Linked DNA regions of Macaca fascicularis. The protein of the gene in region 1 binds, or shares a complex with, the protein of each later gene. Links are inferred from orthologs where the notes say so. Each region holds a gene or a part of one and is shown on either strand. Other genes may lie near its edges.

Region 1 (5,981 bases):
CTGGGTCTTCTGACCATTCTTCATACTCTGCAAATGTGGCCTCCATATCTATTGAAAGATGGATTCAGCCCCGTGGGTGTTGCCATTGGGCTTTATCAACCCAAACACAGATTAAGCCATGAGACTCAGGTGCCACTAGCCCCTCCCACATCTGTGGCCATGGCAGCTCTTACTGATCAAATTTTGATTTCTGCTGAGCCCAAACCTGTCTGTAGAATCTGTCTCAAAACAATGTCCCAGGCAACCCTCCCAGCTAATTAATCAGTCAATGACACTAGTAGCAACAATTTAACAACACTTACCCAGTGTTGCCTATGTTCTAACACTTCACATCCATTAACTCATTCAGTCAACTCCACTCTACAAAGTAGTCTATTGTGATCCTCATTTTGCAGTTGAGGAAACTGAAGCAGAGGGTTCAGCTGCTTGTCTACAGTTAATGGTAGAGCAAGGCTGTGAACCCAGGCAGTCCGGCTCAAGTTCACACTCTAATCACTATGCTAGGCTGTTTCACGCTGGTAGGTGAAGTGAAATCTGCAAGCCAGCTCAGCTCTAGCCTTTGCTGCATGACACTCAATCATTTGATTAGACAACTACTTTATAACGTGTTAAATCCAATAAACCATGAAGAGAAATAACACCTGGGCTCCAGTAAAGTTGCCCAGAGGTTCTGAGTATGTACAACACATGCCCGTGTCTAGGGAACAAACACAACAGCCATGCCAAACTCTTCCCATACTCAGAAAAATCCTCCCAGCACACACACACTCACAGCTCCAAAGACTCAAAAGGCTTAGATTGCCAAAATGTATTTACAAAATAAGGAAACTCTTTACCAACCCCCAAGAAACTCACTTATGAGTACTTCCAATCAACTGCACTTCTGAACGAAATCCCTCCCACAGAGGAATGATCTAAACCCACGCAAAATTCCTGCTGTTACGGAAGAGGTTACTTATGAAGAGAAAATGATTATAATGGAACTCTTGTTCAATGACGTTTCCCCCAAAAATACCGGTGTCATTCACTATTCCTTTCAGAGACCCTATCTCTGCCTTTCCAGCTAGGTCTCAAAGGAGAAAAGAGCTCTCACCTAGGAGTCAGGGAGTCTGGCTTCCAGTCCTGCTTCTGACCCTCACAACCCTCTTAAGCACTAACATTCAAGATGTTTTTACCTAGGACCTCATCCCGAGAGACAATATCCAAGGACAGTAAGAACACAAGCTTTACCTGCCTCACAGGATGGTGGGAAAGGTCTAACTACATGTCATTCCCCCAAAGTATTTTAAAAACCATAGAGGGCTGGCTATTGACATGTCAGTTTCTCTTACCATAGAGTGGGATCGCCAACTGTCGCCGGAAAAGACTGTGGACTTTCTCAAGCTGTGAATCAAAGGTTTGTTCCCGGTCAAAAGGGGAAAGGAAGCCAGCTACGGGCTAAAGAAGCAAATTAGTAGTAAATAACAAACTGTGGTTCTTTCTTTGTTTTTTCTTTTGAGAAGGGTTCTCACTGTCACCCTGGCTGGAGTGCGGTGGTGTGATCACAGCTCACTACAGCCTCATGCTCCAGGCTCATGCAATCCTCCCACCTCAGAGTCCTGAGTAGCTAGGATCATAGGCATATGCCATCACGCCCAGCTAATGTTTTATGTTTTGTAGAGATGGGGTCTCACTATATTGCCCAGGCTGGTCTTGCACTCCTGAACTCAAGAGATCATCTGGCCTCAGCCTCCCAAACTGCTGGGATTACAAGCATGAGCCACCGTACTTGGCCAACTCTGGTTCTTTCTACTTCAAAAAGTATCTCAACAAATTTTCAGTTCAAGCTAAAAAAATGTATACGACCTCTTCCATACATATTGAACCAAATGCTACAAGGGGTATAAAAAAGGTTATCTATCACCCAACCACTAAGGGATTGGCAAAGACCATTTTGTTAACTATATGAACTGCAAGATTCATCCTGGACATGTGTTTCAAAATAATCCTTCCAAGGAGACTTACAAAGACAGCCCCAGCCTGTTCAGAGACAACCACAGGTACTCACCCGAGCAGCTTCCACGATTGCACTTTCAAACTCTCGGTAAGCCTCCCAAAGGGCGAGTCCTTTGGTCATATGCAAACCAACAGACGAGAGAGCCCTTTCAAACACGGAGCGAACTTTCTCAAGGCCACCTTTCTGACCAATCCCACCAACTGAGTACTGGCCATACTCTAGCCAAATGTTAGGACCTAAAAATAAGAAGTGTTCAATTAGTTTGGGGTATAAAATACCCAAATATCAAAACTGATGCAAAACAAAAGAAATGTGCCTACCAAAAAAGTTCTCAGACAGCAGCACTAAATGACAGTGAAGGCCTAACAGCAGAGATGACCATAAAGGACCAAAAAACATTACAGTCTGGGGAAGACCATAGATCCTCAGAAAAAGATAACTGGTGCTATTAACAATGGCTGTGAGAGAGAAAGAAGTGGGTAACAGGATCATCAGAAATCATGGGAACACCATGCACTGCTAAAATTATCAGTGGTTCTAAAAGAAGACTCATGGGCCACAGAGCAGAGGTACAGATATAGTTTTTAAAAATACATTTGGCCAGGTGCAGTGGCTCACACCTATAATCCCAGCATTTTGGGAGACTGAGGCGGGAAGATCACAAGGTCAGGAGTTCGAGACCAGCCTGGCCAATATGGTGAAACCCCGTCTCTACTAAAAATACAAAAATTAGCCGGGCGTTGTGGCAGGCACCTGTAGTCCCAGCTACTTGGGAGGCTGAGGCAGGAAAATCGCTTGAACTCAGGTGAGGGGGAGGTTGCAGCGAGCCGAGATCACACCACTGCCCTCCAGCCTGAGAGCGAGACTCTCAAAAAAGAAAAAAAAGATAACACACACACACACACACACATACTATACTTGTATATTCATAAAACACCTCTTATTTTCATTATACAGATTATAAACCAAAAAATTGTGAATTCTTTTTGGCTTGCAAAGATACACAAAAAATTCTCTATCTCAGAACAGTCTATATGGTAAGCAGCAATGCTTCTCACAAGAGGGACTGCTCCCAGTGGGAAATCAACAAGGAAGAGGATATGAAATCTGAAAGGGGAAATTGTTTGTTTGATTTTTGAGACAGAGTCTCATTCTGTCACCCAGGCTAGAGTGCAGAGGCATGATCTCAGCTCACTGCACCCTCCGCCTCCTGGGTTCAAGTGATTCTCCTGCCTCAGCCTCCCGAGTAGCTGGGACAACAGGTGTGTGCCACCACGCCTGGCTAGTTTTTTGTATTTTTAGTAGAGATGGGGTTTCACTGTGTTAGCCAGGATGGTCTCAAACTCCTGAACTCGAGATCCACCTGCCTCAGCCTCCCGAAGTTCTGGGATTACAGGCGTGAGCCACCACCCCCAGTCTGAAAGGGGAAATTTTTAGAATGCCTTTTTTTTTTTTTTTCTTCTGAGACAGAGTCTCACTTTGTCACCCAGGCTGGAGTACAGTGGCATAATCTTGGTCCACTGCAACCTCTGCCTCCTGGGTTCAAGCAATTTTCATGCCTCAGCCACCTGAGTAGCTGGGATTACAGGCCTACATGCCACCACACCCAGCTAATTGTATTTTTAGTGGAGATGGGGTTTCCCCATGCTGGGCAGGCTGATTTCAAACTCCTGGGCTCAAGTGAGCTGCCTGCCTTGATCTCCCAAATTGCTGGGATTACAGGCATAAGCTACCAAGCCTGACCTTAAAATGCTTTCTTCTGAGACAGAATCTCACTCTGTTGCCCAGGCTGGAGTGTAGTAGCACAACCTCAGCTCACTGCAACCTCCACCTCCTCAGTTCAAGCAATTCTCCTGCCTCAGCCTCCTGAGTAGCTGAGATTACAAGCACGTGCCACCATGCCTGGCTAATTCTTGTATTTTTAGCAGAGATGGGGTTTTGCCATGTTGGCCAGGCTGGTCTTGAGCTCCCAATGTCAAGTGACCACCAGCCTCGGTCTCCCAAAGTTCTGGGATTACAGGTGTGAGCCACCACGCCCAGCCTTAAAACGCTTTTTAATAGCATTTTGTCCACAGCATTGTCTGATGTGGTCCCCAGTTCACATACAGAAAATATTTAAGACACTTATACTATATACAGGGCACAGTAAAGAGACTTAAAGGGAGGTGAGTCTTCTATACTCCACTTGCACCGGTAAGATGTCAATACCAGCAGGCAAGGGAGGTCTCTGTGGGGACAGAACGATTCTGTATCTGGACTGCAGCAGTGGTTAGATGAATCTACACATGTAATAAAATGTCTTTTTTTCCCATTGTTCCAAGGTCAATTTCCTGGTTGTTGTTCTTTTTTTTTTTTTTTTTTTTGAGACGGAGTCTCGCTCTGTCGCCCAGGCTGGAGTGCAGTGGCCGGATCTCAGCTCACTGCAAGCTCCGCCTCCCAGGTTTAAGCCATTCTCCTGCCTCAGCCTCCCGAGTAGCTGGGACTACAGGCGCCCGCCACCTCGCCCGGCTAGTTTTTTGTATTTTTAGTAGAGACGGGGTTTCACCGTGTTAGCCAGGATGGTCTTGATCTCCTGACCTCGTGATCCGCCCGTCTCGGCCTCCCAAAGTGCTGGGATTACAGGCTTGAGCCACCGCGCCCGGCAATTTCCTGGTTTTGATTTTGTACTACAGAAACAAGATATTGGAGGAAACTGGGTAAAGTGAGTACACAAGACTTCTCTGTACTATTTCTGCAACTTCCTATACTCTATAATTACTTCAAAATAAAAAGGTTTTCTTTTAATGTTTTCATCTTTTTTTTTTAAAGCATCTTGTCCAAAACCTCTAAAACCCTATTCAATGTATAAAAGATCACCAGGAAATGCCATGTAAGCTCTGTCAGTACATCCTGAGTGTGAGTGTACTCATTCCCTTACTGCAAGCGCTTCTTCCACTTTTATTTTAAAACTACACTTCCTCAATTAAAGAACAAAGACAATGACAAGACGATTGAACTTAAATCTTGCTAATTGTTAGACTAAAGTTCCCTTTTCTGGGTAGCAGCATCTCATAATACAGTCCTCAACAGCAGACTGATCTACATGACATTTTCAGATACCCTAAAAAAGTCCACGGGAACTTACAAATGTAATCCTTCACAGCTTTCTCAAAGAGGTCATACACATGCTCTCTGTCCAGGCCGTCCTGGGCCATGCTGATCTCGTCGTGCAGCCACTCCAGCCAGAGCTCTACGAGACAAGAGTACTTCCCGCATTAATACCAAAGGGGAGGCTGAGAGCAGGGACTTTACCAAGAAACATCAGCACGCCAATGCTTCATCCATCTTACACAACCTGGCATTGTTCCAGAAATTCACTTCTTAAAACCTGAACTAAGCACATAGGAGATTTTATGCTTCCAAATAAGATCAAATCACTAAAATCATAACATCCTCTACTTGTTAGGCATTTCATATTTGGCAAAGCACTTTTCTCATTCAGTCTTTATCATAATCCTGTAAGGTTGGTGATAGTAACACTAAAAATAATGACATCTATTTAAGGATTACAACATGCCAGGCATGTGTTAAGTGTTATAGGTAGAATAGCTCATCCTATTCTGTCATACATTACAAGGCAGAAACTACTGCTGCCATCATTTAACTGCTAGAAAAACTGAGTCTCAGAATGTTTACATAATCTGCTTAAGGTCACACAGATAGTAAACGATGTAGCCAGGAATGAATCTAGGTCATCTGACTCTAGCATCTACACTCAGCAGTTATGCTTTGCAGAAGGGAAAAGGGGCAGAGTGGGATCTAGGACCAAAGTGTCCTAAGCACTGCCCAAAAGATCACTTATGAATATTCATGAAGACTAAAGAGTTGTTCAGTGCAATTATGTTTCTAATACGCAAATAAGTAGAAATAACCTAAATGCCCAACTATTCTGGAACAATTAATGTATGAAACATTTACATAAAAAGCTGTCTGTAAAAGTTTAAAT
Region 2 (6,709 bases), on another chromosome or scaffold:
CCCCATCTACTAAAAATACAAAAATTAGCTGAGTGTGGTGGCACATGCCTATAGTCCCAGCTGCTCGGGAGGCTGAGGCACAAGAATCACTTGAACCCGCGAGACAGAAGTTGCAATGAGCTGAGATCACGCCATTGCATTCTAGCCTGGGTGACAGGAATAAAAACCTGTCTCAAAAAAAAAAGTATATAACATGCGTGTACATATATAAATATACACATACACATGTACATATAATAGCACTTAGGTATGTTCATCTTGTCAAAAAGCATTAAGTTGTGCTTCATATTCAACTTACCACTTTTTTTTTTTTTTTTTTTTTTTTTTTTTTGAGACGGAGTCTCGCTACCGCCCAGGCTGGAGTGCAGTGGCCGGATCTCAGCTCACTGCAAGCTCCGCCTCTCGGGTTTACGCCATTCTCCTGCCTCAGCCTCCCGAGCAGTTGGGACTACAGGCGCCCACCACCTCGCCCGGCTAGTTTTTTGTATTTTTTTAGTAGAGACGGGGTTTCACCGTGTTAGCCAGGATGGTCTCGATCTCCTGACCTCGTGATCCGCCCGTCTCGGCCTCCCAAAGTGCTGGGACTACAGGCTTGAGCCACCGCGCCCGGCCAACTTACCACTTTTTTACTTAAATGTAAGCAAATGTGGTATTTTATTTATCTATTTATTTCCTTAGAGAGAGGGTCACCCAGGCTAGAGTGCAGTGGCACAATCATAGCTCTCTGTAGCCTCAAACTCCTGGGCTCAAGTGATCCTCCTGCCTCAGCCTCTGAGTAGCTATGACTATAGGTACATACCACCATGCCTGGCTAATTTATTTTTATATTTTTATTTTGTAGAGGCTAGGTCTTGCTATGTTGCCCAGGCTGATCTTGAACTCCTGGCCTCAAGTGATCTTCCTGCTTCAGCCTCCCAAAGTGCTGGGATTACAGACCTGAGACATTGTGCCAGACCTATTTATATTTTTAAAGTATCATTATGCTGGCTGGGAGAGGTGGCTCATGTCTGTAATCCCAACACTTTGGGAGGCTGAGGCAGGTGGATCACGAGGTCAGGAGATCAAGACCATCCTGGCCAACATGGTGAAACCCCGTCTCTACTAAAAACACAAAAATTAGCCAGGCGCGGTGGCTCAAGCCTGTAATCCCAGCACTGTGGGAGGCTGAGACGGGCGGATCACAAGGTCAGGAGATCGAGACCATCCTGGCTAACACAGTGAAACCCCGTCTCTACTAAAAAATACAAAAAGCTAGCCGGGCGCGGTGGCGGGAGCCTGTAGTCCCAGCTACTCGGGAGGCTGAGGCAGGAGAATGGCGTGAACCCGGGAGGCGGAGCTTGCAGTGAGCTGAGATCCGGCCACTGCACTCCAGCCCGGGTGACAGAGCGAGACTCCGTCTCAAAAAAAAATAAATAAATAAAAAAATAAATAAAAACACAAAAATTAGCTGGGCGTGGTGGTGCCTGCCTATAATCTCAGTTACTAGGGAGGCTGAAGCAGGAGAATCGCTTGAACCCGGAAGGCAGAGATTGCAGTGAGCTGAGATCATGCCACTGTACTCCTCCAGCCTGGCAACACAGCAAGACTCCGTCTCAAAAAAAAAAAAAAAAAAAGTATCACTCTGCTGTTTTACAATTTAAACAGAATCTCTGTGGAGCAACAAAGCATCAACAAGTATATTGGTGCATCCTTAAAACTGTATAACCAACAAATGTGAGAGGAGTTCAGGCAACTTCCCAGAGGTCACAAGGATCCATAAACACATCCGTCTCGAAAATGCTATTTTTCTTCCAAATCCCTTGAGCAATACCTTCCATACAATTTTACTGTATGATTTTAGTCTTAAACTTCCTCTGCTTCTGCTGAGTATTCTTTATGAGCCCTATACAGGTTAACTTGAGAAGTACCTCTGCTAGGCCAGGCGTGGTAGCTCTAGCCTATAATCCCAGCACTTTGGGAGGCCAAGGCGGGTGAATCACTTGAGGTCGGGAGTTTGAGACAAGCCTGACCAAAATGGAGAAACCCTGTCTCTACTAAAAATACAAAAAAAATTAGCCGGGCATAGTGGCGCATGCCTGTAATCCTAGCTACTGGGGAGGCTGAGGCAGGAGAATCACTTGAACCCTGGAGGCACAGGTTGCCGTGAGCCGAGATCACGCCATTGCACGCCAGCCTGGGCAACAAGAGCGAAATTCCTCAAAAAAAAAAAAAAAAAAAAAAAAACCCACAAAAAAAGTACCTGTTTACTCTGACTTTCACAAACTGGCTAGCTCAAGGTGAATACATAAGCTGTTATCTGTACTCCTCATAACCCCAATTTTTCTATCCTCCAGCTCAATTCCTCTGTAGGTCATCACCACAATGGTTTCTTTTTTTTTTTTTTTTTTTGAGACGGAGTCTCGCTCTGTCGCCGGGGCTGGAGCGCAGTGGCCGGATCTCAGCTCACTGCAAGCTCCGCCTCCCGGGTTTACGCCATTCTCCTGCCTCAGCCTCCTGTGTAGCTGGGACTACAGGCGCCCGCCACCTCGCCCGGCTAGTTTTTTGTATTTTTTTAGTAGAGACGGGGTTTCACCGTGTTAGCCAGGATGGTCTCGATCTCCTGACCTCGTGATCCGCCCGTCTCGGCCTCCCAAAGTGCTGGGATTACAGGCTTGAGCCACCGCGCCCGGCCCACAATGGTTTCTTAAAGATGGGTAACACTCGGGCCGGGCACGGTGGCTCCCACCTGTAATGGGAGGCAGAGGCGGCTGGATCACAAGGTCAGGAGTTCGAGACCAGCCTGCTCAGCATGGTGAAACCCAGTCTGTACTAAAAATACAAAAAATTAGCTGGGCATGGTGGTGTGAGCCTGTAATCCCAGCTACTTGGGAGGCTGAGGCAGGAGAATCGCTTGAACCCGGGAGGCGGAAGTTGCCGTGAGCCGAGATGGCGCCACTGCACTCCAGCTTGGGCAATAACAGTGAAACTCTGTCTCAAAAAATCAAACAAACAAAAAAACAAGATGGGTAACACTCAATCATACTAAATGCAAAGTCTAGCCTTAGTTTTTGTACTACACAATAATACCACCCAGGAATCTCTCCAGTAGTACAAAGTATTGTCCCCTCCACCAAACAATCTGTTAAGATGCCCAATAACTCAGCCTGGGTCTTCTAAATTCTGGACTCTTCATCTTCTATCTAGCTCCAGGACCTAGGCTATCCCCCTCTCCCACTCCGAGATACTGGTGTCACAAATATTTTTGACACTTGCTACCAAAATAATCTGGGGCTCTCAGACATTTGTTCAGCTTCTGACCTTGACATCTGTTGGCAGTTTACAAGTTACAAAGTACTTCTGATTTTCGCCTCAACCCACTGAGGGCGGAGAGCCAAATATTGCTATCCTGGTTTTAACAGTGAGGAATCCAGGTCTGTGACACCTTCGCCCAAGGTCACACGGCGAGTCCTCATGGTAAAGGGCTCTCCCCACCCTCAGGGTCCCCGCCAACATTCCCCTTCTCCACATCCATCCCCCTAGCCCCCGCCGGGCCCACCCACTGGGGCTCCAAATGAGCCGAGGCGACCCTCAGGCCCCGCCTGCGCTTTCCCAGAGCTGATCCTGGAGTTCTCCCGAGGGGCAGGTGTCAGGCTACTCTTCCAGGGTCACTACATACCATCCCCGCCCAGCCCCTACTGTAGCCGAGAAAAAGGGGGCTGGCCTAAGGGCCAGATACTCGGCCCCTGGTTCTGCACAGAGGAAGAGAGAGCCGGATGCTCACCACTGCGCGCCGCGTTGGAGTGTGGTCCTCATTAAGGCTCCAAGCTCCGACTTCTGAGTCTCCGCATCCGGTCGCTCACCAAAGCCTCCACCTTCCGCCATCTCGTCCGCAGCCCCGGCCCAGCCGGCCCGGACATCCGCCCCGCGCGCGGCGTGCTATAGACCGCGCCCACGCACGCACGCACGCACGCTCGCGTGCCCGCCCCTGCCCCACCTCGTGCCGCGACTTTCGGCTCCTGCAGCCGCTGTCTTTTATCCCCTCCAGTCTCGCGCCACTTCGCTCACCGGCAAACAGTGGAGCGAAAAGGCAGATGCGAGAGGGGTGGGTGGGGAGCAGCAGCTGCTACTTCCTCCCGCCCTGCCGCCTGCTACGCGGTCGTCGGGCGCCCCTTCCTCTGCTCAGGATGGCGCTACAGGATGAAGCTCTGTTCAGCCCGCCGATCTCAGGGAGTCAGACAGCAAGCCCACGACCCATGGGGCACCCTAGCCCGGCCTTCGAGGTTATCCTGGTCCTAAATAAATGCAGGCCAGGTGCGAGAAGCCCCGTAGTTAGGTCTGTTCATTCTCACCCCTGCCATTCCGCTTTCAGCTGGAGGCCTTAGGCGAGTCAGCTGCCCAAACGTGGGATCCGGGCTCCTGCTCCAGCGGCCCTAACAGGGATTTCGGGAAGTACCACGTGCATCAGCGCCTTGGGACTAAGACTGAACGGTGTGCTGTAGTTATTAACAGTCGCCTTAAACAATCTGGACGCCAGAGCCACCTGGCCCACCTGAGAATTCCGTCAGCTCTTCATACTGAGCTACTTGCCAAGCAGCCACAGAGGGGCGATAGCAACAGGGGAAGGAGAGGTATTCCACATTAGTTACCCAGGCATGTACTTAGTTCCTGGAACAAGATACAACGTCCTGAACACTGTGTTTTCCAGTCGCCCCGCTCACACAAACACACAACCCTCTTCCTGGAGGGAGAAATAAACCCAGAGGAAAGAGGAAGTCAGGCCTAGATGAGTCTCCATACACTTGTCTAACAGTTCTTGTCCTCAGAGAAAAATAAGACCTAGTTCCTGCCCTCATAGAATCTAGTGGAAGAGTAGAGATGTTTCAGAAATAACCTCAATGCCTAGCAGTATGTGGTAAGTGCAATTAAAGGGTGTGAACCAGGCCAGGTGCAGTGGTTCAAGCCTGTCGTCCCAGCACTTTGGAAGGCTGAGGCGGGAGGATAGCTTTAGCCCAGGAGTTAGAGACCAGCCTCGGCAACATGGCGAAATCCTGTCTCTACAAAAATTAGCCGGGAGGTGGCGCGCGTCTGTGGTCCCAGGTACTCGGGAGGCTGAGGTAGAAGGATCCCTTGAGCCCAGGAGGTCGAAGTTGCAGTGAGTCGAGATGGTGCCACTTCTCTCGAGACTGGACGGCAAAGTGAGACCCTGTCTCAAAAAAACAGTAAATACAAATAAGGGGTGTGAACCGGCCAGGCGCGGTGGCTCACGCCTGTAATCCTAGCACTTTGGGGGCCCGAGGCCGGCAGATCACCTGAGGTCGGGAGTTCGAGACCAGCCTGACCAACGTGGAGACGGAAATGTCCTCTCAAAAAAAAAAAAAAGTGCTGGGCGCCCGGCAGGGCAGTTCATGCTTGTAATCCCAGGACTTTGGGAGGCCATGGCGGGCAGATCACGAGGTTAGGAGTTCGAGACCAGCATGGCTAATATGGTGAAACCCCATCTCTACCAAAAATACAAAAAAAAGTTAGCCAGGCGTGGTGGCGCATGTCTATAGTCTGAGCTACTCGGGAGGCAGAGGCAGAAGAATTGCTTGAACCCAGGAGGCGGAGGTTGCAGTGAGCCAAGATTGCACCACTGTACTCCAGCCTGAGCGACAGAGTGAGACCCCCTCTAAAAAAAAAAAACAAAAAAGGCCGGGCGCGGTGGCTCAAGCCTGTAATCCCAGCACTTTGGAAGGCCGAGATGGGCGGATCACGAGGTCGGGAGATCGAGACCATCCTGGCGAACACGGTGAAACCCCGTCTCTACTAAAAAAATACAAAAAAACTAGCCGGGCGAGGTGGCGGGCGCCTGTAGTCCCAGCTACTCCGGAGGCTGAGGCAGGAGAATGGCGTAAACCCGGGAGGCGGAGCTTGCAGTGAGCTGAGATCCGGCCACTGCACTCCAGCCTGGGCGACAGAGCCAGACTCCATCTCAAAAAAAAAAAAAAAGGGTGTGAACCAAAGGCTGTAGAACACCAGGCACAACCCCTGCTCTCATAGGAAACCTTTGACTTGAGTAACATTTGGGTGTGGTATTGAAAAAAAATGCTGGCAGAATAAAGATGAGGATGCATGTAACAGGAGGGGAGACTCAAGGGACCAGAAGAGAATTTCTGGAACAGGCAGGACAGTATCAGAGAGTGGGGATTAGGCCAGTTGAGCCGGGCACTACAACACTACTACAACCTAAGGGGATCTAAAGCTAGAAAGGAGGCCAGACAGACCATATATCCTGCCTTAAAAGGCAGGCAGGCATTGTAGGAAGTTTTGGAGCAGAGACAAAATGACTGAGGGTTCTCAGACACAGAACCATTAGGACCCTCTCACTATGGAGGTGGCTGTGAGGGAGAAGAGGAGAAACAGATGAGCCATGTCTATTTTATTTTTTTATTCTTATTTTTCTACCCTATTCCTGTGGAAAAGATGAGCTATGTTTTGTGTCAGGGGTGAAGGAAGGGGAACTGGCCCAGTGAAAATATGGTAGGTCATTTGAACAGATTTACTATTTTTATGTTGTGTTTGGCCAACTGAAATTAATTTACACTCCCTGGGACATCCATCACACACCATCTGATAAGAAAGGCCTCTTGGCAGTTGGGTAGATTAGTAGGGGAAAGTAAATGTGGAATTAAAACTGCCTCAAATAACCACATAGCAATTAATCCCCTGTAGATAAGAGTTACCACCACAT
Region 3 (5,981 bases), about 46 Mb from region 1:
TATTAATATTATTAGTCGTAGGTTTGCAGGTATTTTTTAGCTCTTTAATTCCCATTTTCTTAACTTTCTCTCTGAAGCAATTATTTAAGTGAAACATTTTTATAATTTAACAGAAAAGTCTTACTTGGTGAGCCTTCTTCATGTATGCCATTTGGGCCATTCCCATTAATATTTTGGTCCTTACAGCAGTGTAGGGATCCTTCAGTTTCTTCAGTTTCAGTAGATATTTTGACATATCGGCTTAAGTAAAATCAGAAATCAAACAAGTTCAGTACTACAAAGATAAAAACTTTAAAAATGTTTTCATTCTATCAGTAAAACAAAACTTTTTAATGTAACAGTGGTCACTTAGTAGATTCAAGGTTAAAATCAAACTTACAGTACCATACATATAGCTGACTAATAATTTGTTTTGCTCCTCTTTATAAAAATAATTAGTACGTTACCTTTTAGGTTAAATGTTAAATATTTGTTGCAAATAATTTCTCAACTTATCCTCATTTAGATGGTATATATTGTTGCTAAAAACACTTATTTTTGTATAATGTGATCTTTACATATGGGTTATGAAACCATAATAATTAGATATGCAAGAAAGAATACTAAATATATCAGCTTTCAAAGATAAAAGGGATCAAATGACATTCTTGATAACTTTATAATTCAAATAAGGGGATTTAGGAAGGCAAAAAATAGGCTGCCTTACAATACTATTAATCATGAATTGGTAATGTATATAAAGAAATGAAGCATTTGACATTTGTCATTTCACAGTGCAAACATATAGCATTTGACATTTGTTATGATTTCACAGAACAAACATGTAACACATAATTATTATAACATAAATTCCTATTTCCTTCCAACTGTAAACTTTTGGCCTAAAATTGCTACAGACTTCATGCTTCCTGGGTTTGAAATTACCTCCATAATGTGTTTTACGTGAATAAGAAAGTGGATTAGGACTATAATCTGACTATAAACAAAACTGAGACAATACAGACTTGTATAATTATATTCTGATAGTACCTTGTGTGTTTATTTTTATTAGCTATTTTATATTTTATTCCCATATTTATTTTGTCAATGTAGAATTGTTTGGCACTTACCACATTCTCAAGAGCAGGAGATTATAAAGTTTGTCTTCAGTATTGTTTCGTGGTACAGCCATAAGAAAAGGCTGACCAAAAAGTGAAGAACCAGTATGGTGGGTATAACTTGAGTGTCTGAATTTTTCTCTTAGGCAAACAGGAATAATCACATGCTCTGTATCTTCTGTCCTATTGATGTTAATTTCAAACCTACAAGGACAAAACTGACCATAAACTCTCAAAATTTTAGGTTACTTCTTTTGATTTTTTTTTCAAGTAATATTTTGCACAATGAGTTTTATACTTACACATAAATATCATCCCGTTCCATAATACTACTAAGGTTTTCATCCATAGCGAATATTCTGTGAAATCTATGATTGTATATATCAGTAACTATCATCTAAAAGGAAATAAATTTCTATTAAGCTGGTTTTACAACACTAAGAAACTAAATACCAACTTATATACTTCAACCCCAGAAACATCTTACCTTATCTGCAGGTATTCCTGACAAAGCAGACAATGCTGTACAAAGATCTAATATATTTCCAATTTTGGGGACAACCACTTTGTACTAAAAAACAAAAAAGAATTGTAATAAATTTGTTACTTTGGAAAAAAAATTCAGTAAATGAGAGTGACCTCATGGTTGCTACCTCACATTCATTTGGCATTTGGCTCAGTGTTTGTTTCTAATCTTGCCACCATCCTGGGTCCTGGGTGACAATGTCCACATGGATAATTTGTCCTAGTCTTATCATTCCTTGGTTCCTCAATTCAAAGACATTTGCATTAATCAACCTTAGTCAACTTATTAGATCCTGTCATCACTTGAAACTGCTCCCACTTTTGCTATGTTTTTTTGTTTGTTTTTTAGAGACAGGCTCTCACTCTGTTACCCAGGCTGGAGTACAGGGCATGATCTTGGCTCACTGCAGCCTCAACCTCCCAGGCTCAAGCCATCTTCCCAATTCAGCCTCCTGCGTAGCTAGGACTACAGGCGTGTGCCACCATGAGTGGCTAATTTTTATTTTTTAGAGACGAGGTCTCATTATGTTGCCCAGAATGGTCTCAAAATCCTGGATTCAAGTGATCCTTCTGCTTCAGTCTCCCAAAATGCTGGGATTACAGGAGTCAGCCACTGCACCCAGCCCCACTTTTACTATCTTAAACTAACAGGCTACTGTCTAACCGCTACTTCTTACTTCTGGAAATTCATTCTTCTCTCTTCTTGGCTTGCACAGAGATTTCTATTCCTTTTAACTCTGTTTTCTCCCAGTTTACCAGCTCCCTACTGTCTTCTTGCCCTTCCACCCAGGCCCTACATGCTTTATCGCGAACCTTTAATGTCTTTGTTACTCAATTCTATTCATTCCACTCTTGCTAAACTTTCTCAGAGCTGTTCATATGTGCTGGAGAAAATTTCTCAATTTTAGAGGTTGGTGTGCTACAAATTCACAGTGCCCAATCTCAACCGACCCTTTGACAGTACCCAGAAATAATTCTGCATATCACACATCTGCTTATTCTCTCATTTATCTCAATAACTATTTAAAATCTTCATCGGACTGGGTGCAGTGGCTCACGCCTATAATCCCAACACTTTGGGAGGTCAAGGCGGGTGAATCGCTTAAGCCCAAGAAGTTCGAGACTAGCCTGGACAACATGGCAAAACCCCGTTGCTACAAAAATACAAAAAATTAGCTGGGCATGGAGGCACACACCTGTAGTCCCAGCTACTTGGGAGTCTGAGGTGGGAGAATCCCTTGAGCCCAGGAGGCAGAGGTTGCAGTGAGCGAGAGCTGAGATCACACCGTACTGCACTCCAACTTGGGTGACAGAGCAAGACCCCGCCTCAAAAACAAATAAACAAACAAAAAAACAAAAAAACTTCACCATTCTTTAGGCTTCCTATTTCACTACTGCTCCCTTAATATCAGCAGAATACCTATTTTACCTCAAAAACAGAAGCTACTGGGTGGGAAAATCTCCAACTTCCTGTTCTCCTACTAACTTCTTTGAATACATATAGGTACTTTTTTGTCTCTTGCAACACATGGGAAGACAGGTGTCTCTTTTCTTATTCAAGGCTAACCCTAGCATCTATGCTCTAAATCCCATGCTCTTCTGCTTTCTCTGGGACCTAAACCCAGCAATTATTCTTTCTTCCATTTTATCTTGACTCTTGCATAAGCACTGGAATATAAAGTCTCTCAAAAAACAAGCGTCCCTCATTGCTTTCCCTCTAATTATCTCCCCTTTTCCTCTATTTTATAAATAACTTTATTAATGGTATCTATATTATAATTTCCTTATCACATTTACTTCTCAACCCTCTTGCTGGCTTGTCTTCACCTCTTTATTTAACTTGTTTCCAAGGCTGCCAATACTGTTTACAACTTATCAGTCTTTATTTTATTGACCTCTTTGTAATATGACTGCTGACCACTTTCTCCTTAAGAAATTCCCTTTCCTTATAACACGACTATTTCTTAATTCTTTTCTATTGCTATGATCATATTCTCCTTTTGAAGTTCTCCTATAGTGTTCTTTAGAGTTTTGTCTTTAGCCTTCTTCTCAATTTTATATGCTCTCCCTGGATGAGGTGACAGTATCTCCTGATTTGCTTTGGCCAGTCCTGGATTAGCCTGATATCCTAGTATAATTATTAATGACAGTCCCTTCTATTTTCAAAAGAGTTCTTGTTTAGATGATAAATCACAGGGTCACCTTAGCCTTAAGTAATCTCATTCTTCTAAAACACTGACTATCATTTTCATAGAGCTCATTGCCCAATTTACATCTAAAGCAGTCTCTCTCCTTTGGTCTAGATACACAAATTCATTGCCTACTGGATATCTCTACCTAAGTGTTCTCATGCATCTATAAGTCAGCATGTCCAATGCTAAACACAGGATTGGGTCATGTTAGGCCACCATGCTCAATACGAAAATCGATTCCTTCTTCAACTTGTTCTTCCTATATATTCCACTAAAACAGCACTGCTGTCTCCTCTTTTCCTGTCAAGTAAACTTGGCATCATCTTTGAATATACTCATACATTTTCACTTCCCACATTCAACTGGTTCTTCAAACTGCCATCCTGACACTCATTTTCTGAGCTGAAGCGTTTGTCATTTGTCTGTCGTCTGATCACTAAAAGCTTCTTATCTGGTCTTAGTGCTAAGCCTTTTCTAACCAATCTCTGTGCTAGCCAGAATCATCTTTCTCAAACACAATTCTGGCCATATAATATCTATACTTAATAGTCTTTAATGGCTTCCCTAGTTTTTAGGATGAAGTTCAAACTTCTTATACTGGCATCAAAGTTCTTTGTGATCTAGCTCCTGCTTGCCATACTTGTAGACTACAGAAGTGGGCCATGTCCTCTTTTGCCATAAGTTCTTTCTACATGCCACTATCTTGCCCTATAATGCTTTTATTTCTAGTTTTCCCCTGCTTATAACCTAATTGTCCTTCAGAATTCATCACAGGCCTCATAACTAGTTTGGGTAGGTTACTCTTTCTGTGTTTTCTTGCAGCACCCTGTCAGAGCAATTTTCACACTGTATGACAAGCTTCTTGAAGAACAAGGACTAGAAACACCATTGTATTTCTAGCACCTTGCACAGCATGAGAGCCCAAGACATAATACACATTCAACATTTTTCCTAATAAGCTTCCATGACCTAAATCAACTTCAGTGATGGGAAAACTCAACAAATAGGCAAACTCAGCTAATTTCACTTTCCTCACGAACTGGTTAAAGCAAGTGATCATTCTGTATTTGAGTTGGTACTGCCTCTAAATGGAAAAAAGAAAAAAAACAAAAAAACAAAACACAAAACAACCGAATTTCTCTGTGCTAACCATGGCTCTAACTTCCACAAATTTATATCATTGGTCACCAAATGAGAAAAGTGGTAAGTCAATGAAATTCACATTGCTGGAAAAATAATTTCGAGCCCAATTTATGGAAGAGTACTTATCATATACCTTATGGACTAATGTGTAAATTAATGCAATTTGCCACTATTATGATATAGATTACTTATATTATTGGCATGGGAGAATATTATCTCTAACAAATGTGCTTTAGAGGAATAAAATATCTACATTTATTTTTTGTTGCAGTAAATTTATACTCATTATTCTATGCTCTCTTGCTCCATTACACTCATTGGTGTATATTTGCAAAGTTACAAACTAGAGAGGTAAGGATGTGGTTTGGCACTGTTATAGTTTTTCACCATTGAAAAGAATGTTAACAATCTTGTACTTAAAAAAGAGTGAATAAGTAAATACCTAAAGGACATAACTTTAAAAATGTGAACACATATTCCCCAGGCCAAAAGTAAAAGCAGGTCTTTATTGGCTCTGGTCACAGATAAGGGATAGTACTTAGCACTCCCCAGTGAAATATTGATGAGGGCATTGTGTTCAATGAGTTCATAAAGAAAACATAAAGCAGCAGAAAAACAAATAGCTTAAATTTGCATAACTAAGTACATACCTAGTATCTACTAGACTTTAATTACTTTGAATAAAAGGACTGTGTTTTTAATGAACACTACATACACTCTGCCTTTGTTGACAGTAAACCCAAATACATCCCTGAATGGTAAGATCATAATTTTGTTCAAAGTATAGCTTTCATATAGACATCATGACTATTACGAACTAACAAACTGAGCTATTTGGCTAAAAATTTACAGAAAACAATCTTCTAAAGCAGGAATCGTATCTGTTTTGTTTAGTGAAACAGCTTTATACTTAGTAGGTGCATAGTTAAGTATCTTGATGAATAAAATTTTTGAATACTTCTTGTGCATTAATATCTACAAGCCACAAAAGTTGGAAATACAAAGGTTTACAAGGTCCCTGTCT

What was found.
Region 2: the proteins of SART3 (region 1) and USP4 are in contact, whole or in part, in a crystal structure (PDB 5CTR), measured with the Homo sapiens proteins. The link is inferred for Macaca fascicularis from reciprocal best matches to the Homo sapiens genes SART3 and USP4. Residues at the interface, in NP_055521.1 of Homo sapiens: Asp437, Ser438, Ser439, Lys440, Gln490, Arg493, Glu494, Trp496, Asp497, Met500, Thr501, Ala505, Trp511, Tyr514, Lys529, Arg533, Cys537; in NP_003354.2 of Homo sapiens: Met24, Thr27, Leu28, Ser53, Trp54, Glu123, Gly125, Leu126, Phe127, Val128, Lys129, His130, Cys131, Lys132.
Region 3: the proteins of SART3 (region 1) and USP15 are in contact, whole or in part, in a crystal structure (PDB 5JJW), measured with the Homo sapiens proteins. The link is inferred for Macaca fascicularis from reciprocal best matches to the Homo sapiens genes SART3 and USP15. Residues at the interface, in NP_055521.1 of Homo sapiens: Ser438, Ser439, Lys440, Glu443, Gln490, Arg493, Glu494, Trp496, Asp497, Met500, Thr501, Ala505, Trp511, Tyr514, Arg533, Cys537; in NP_001239007.1 of Homo sapiens: Ser23, Leu24, Asp48, Trp50, Gly121, Met122, Phe123, Val124, Lys125, His126, Lys128.

Annotation. Positions count from the first base shown.
Region 1 is NC_088385.1:115,380,100-115,386,080, forward strand, and holds part of SART3 (squamous cell carcinoma antigen recognized by T-cells 3), read right to left. Parts: intron 5,226-5,981; coding exon 5,121-5,225; intron 2,233-5,120; coding exon 2,048-2,232; intron 1,438-2,047; coding exon 1,332-1,437; intron 67-1,331; exon of another isoform or gene 49-66; coding exon 1-48. UniProt on the Homo sapiens protein: U6 snRNP-binding protein that functions as a recycling factor of the splicing machinery. Promotes the initial reassembly of U4 and U6 snRNPs following their ejection from the spliceosome during its maturation.
Region 2 is NC_088376.1:112,332,778-112,339,486, forward strand, and holds the start of USP4 (ubiquitin carboxyl-terminal hydrolase 4), read right to left. Parts: upstream 3,891-6,709; 5' UTR 3,862-3,890; coding exon 3,761-3,861; intron 1-3,760.
Region 3 is NC_088385.1:69,320,421-69,326,401, reverse strand, and holds part of USP15 (ubiquitin carboxyl-terminal hydrolase 15), read right to left. Parts: intron 1,669-5,981; coding exon 1,585-1,668; intron 1,495-1,584; coding exon 1,400-1,494; intron 1,302-1,399; coding exon 1,110-1,301; intron 241-1,109; coding exon 125-240; intron 1-124. UniProt on the Homo sapiens protein: Hydrolase that removes conjugated ubiquitin from target proteins and regulates various pathways such as the TGF-beta receptor signaling, NF-kappa-B and RNF41/NRDP1-PRKN pathways.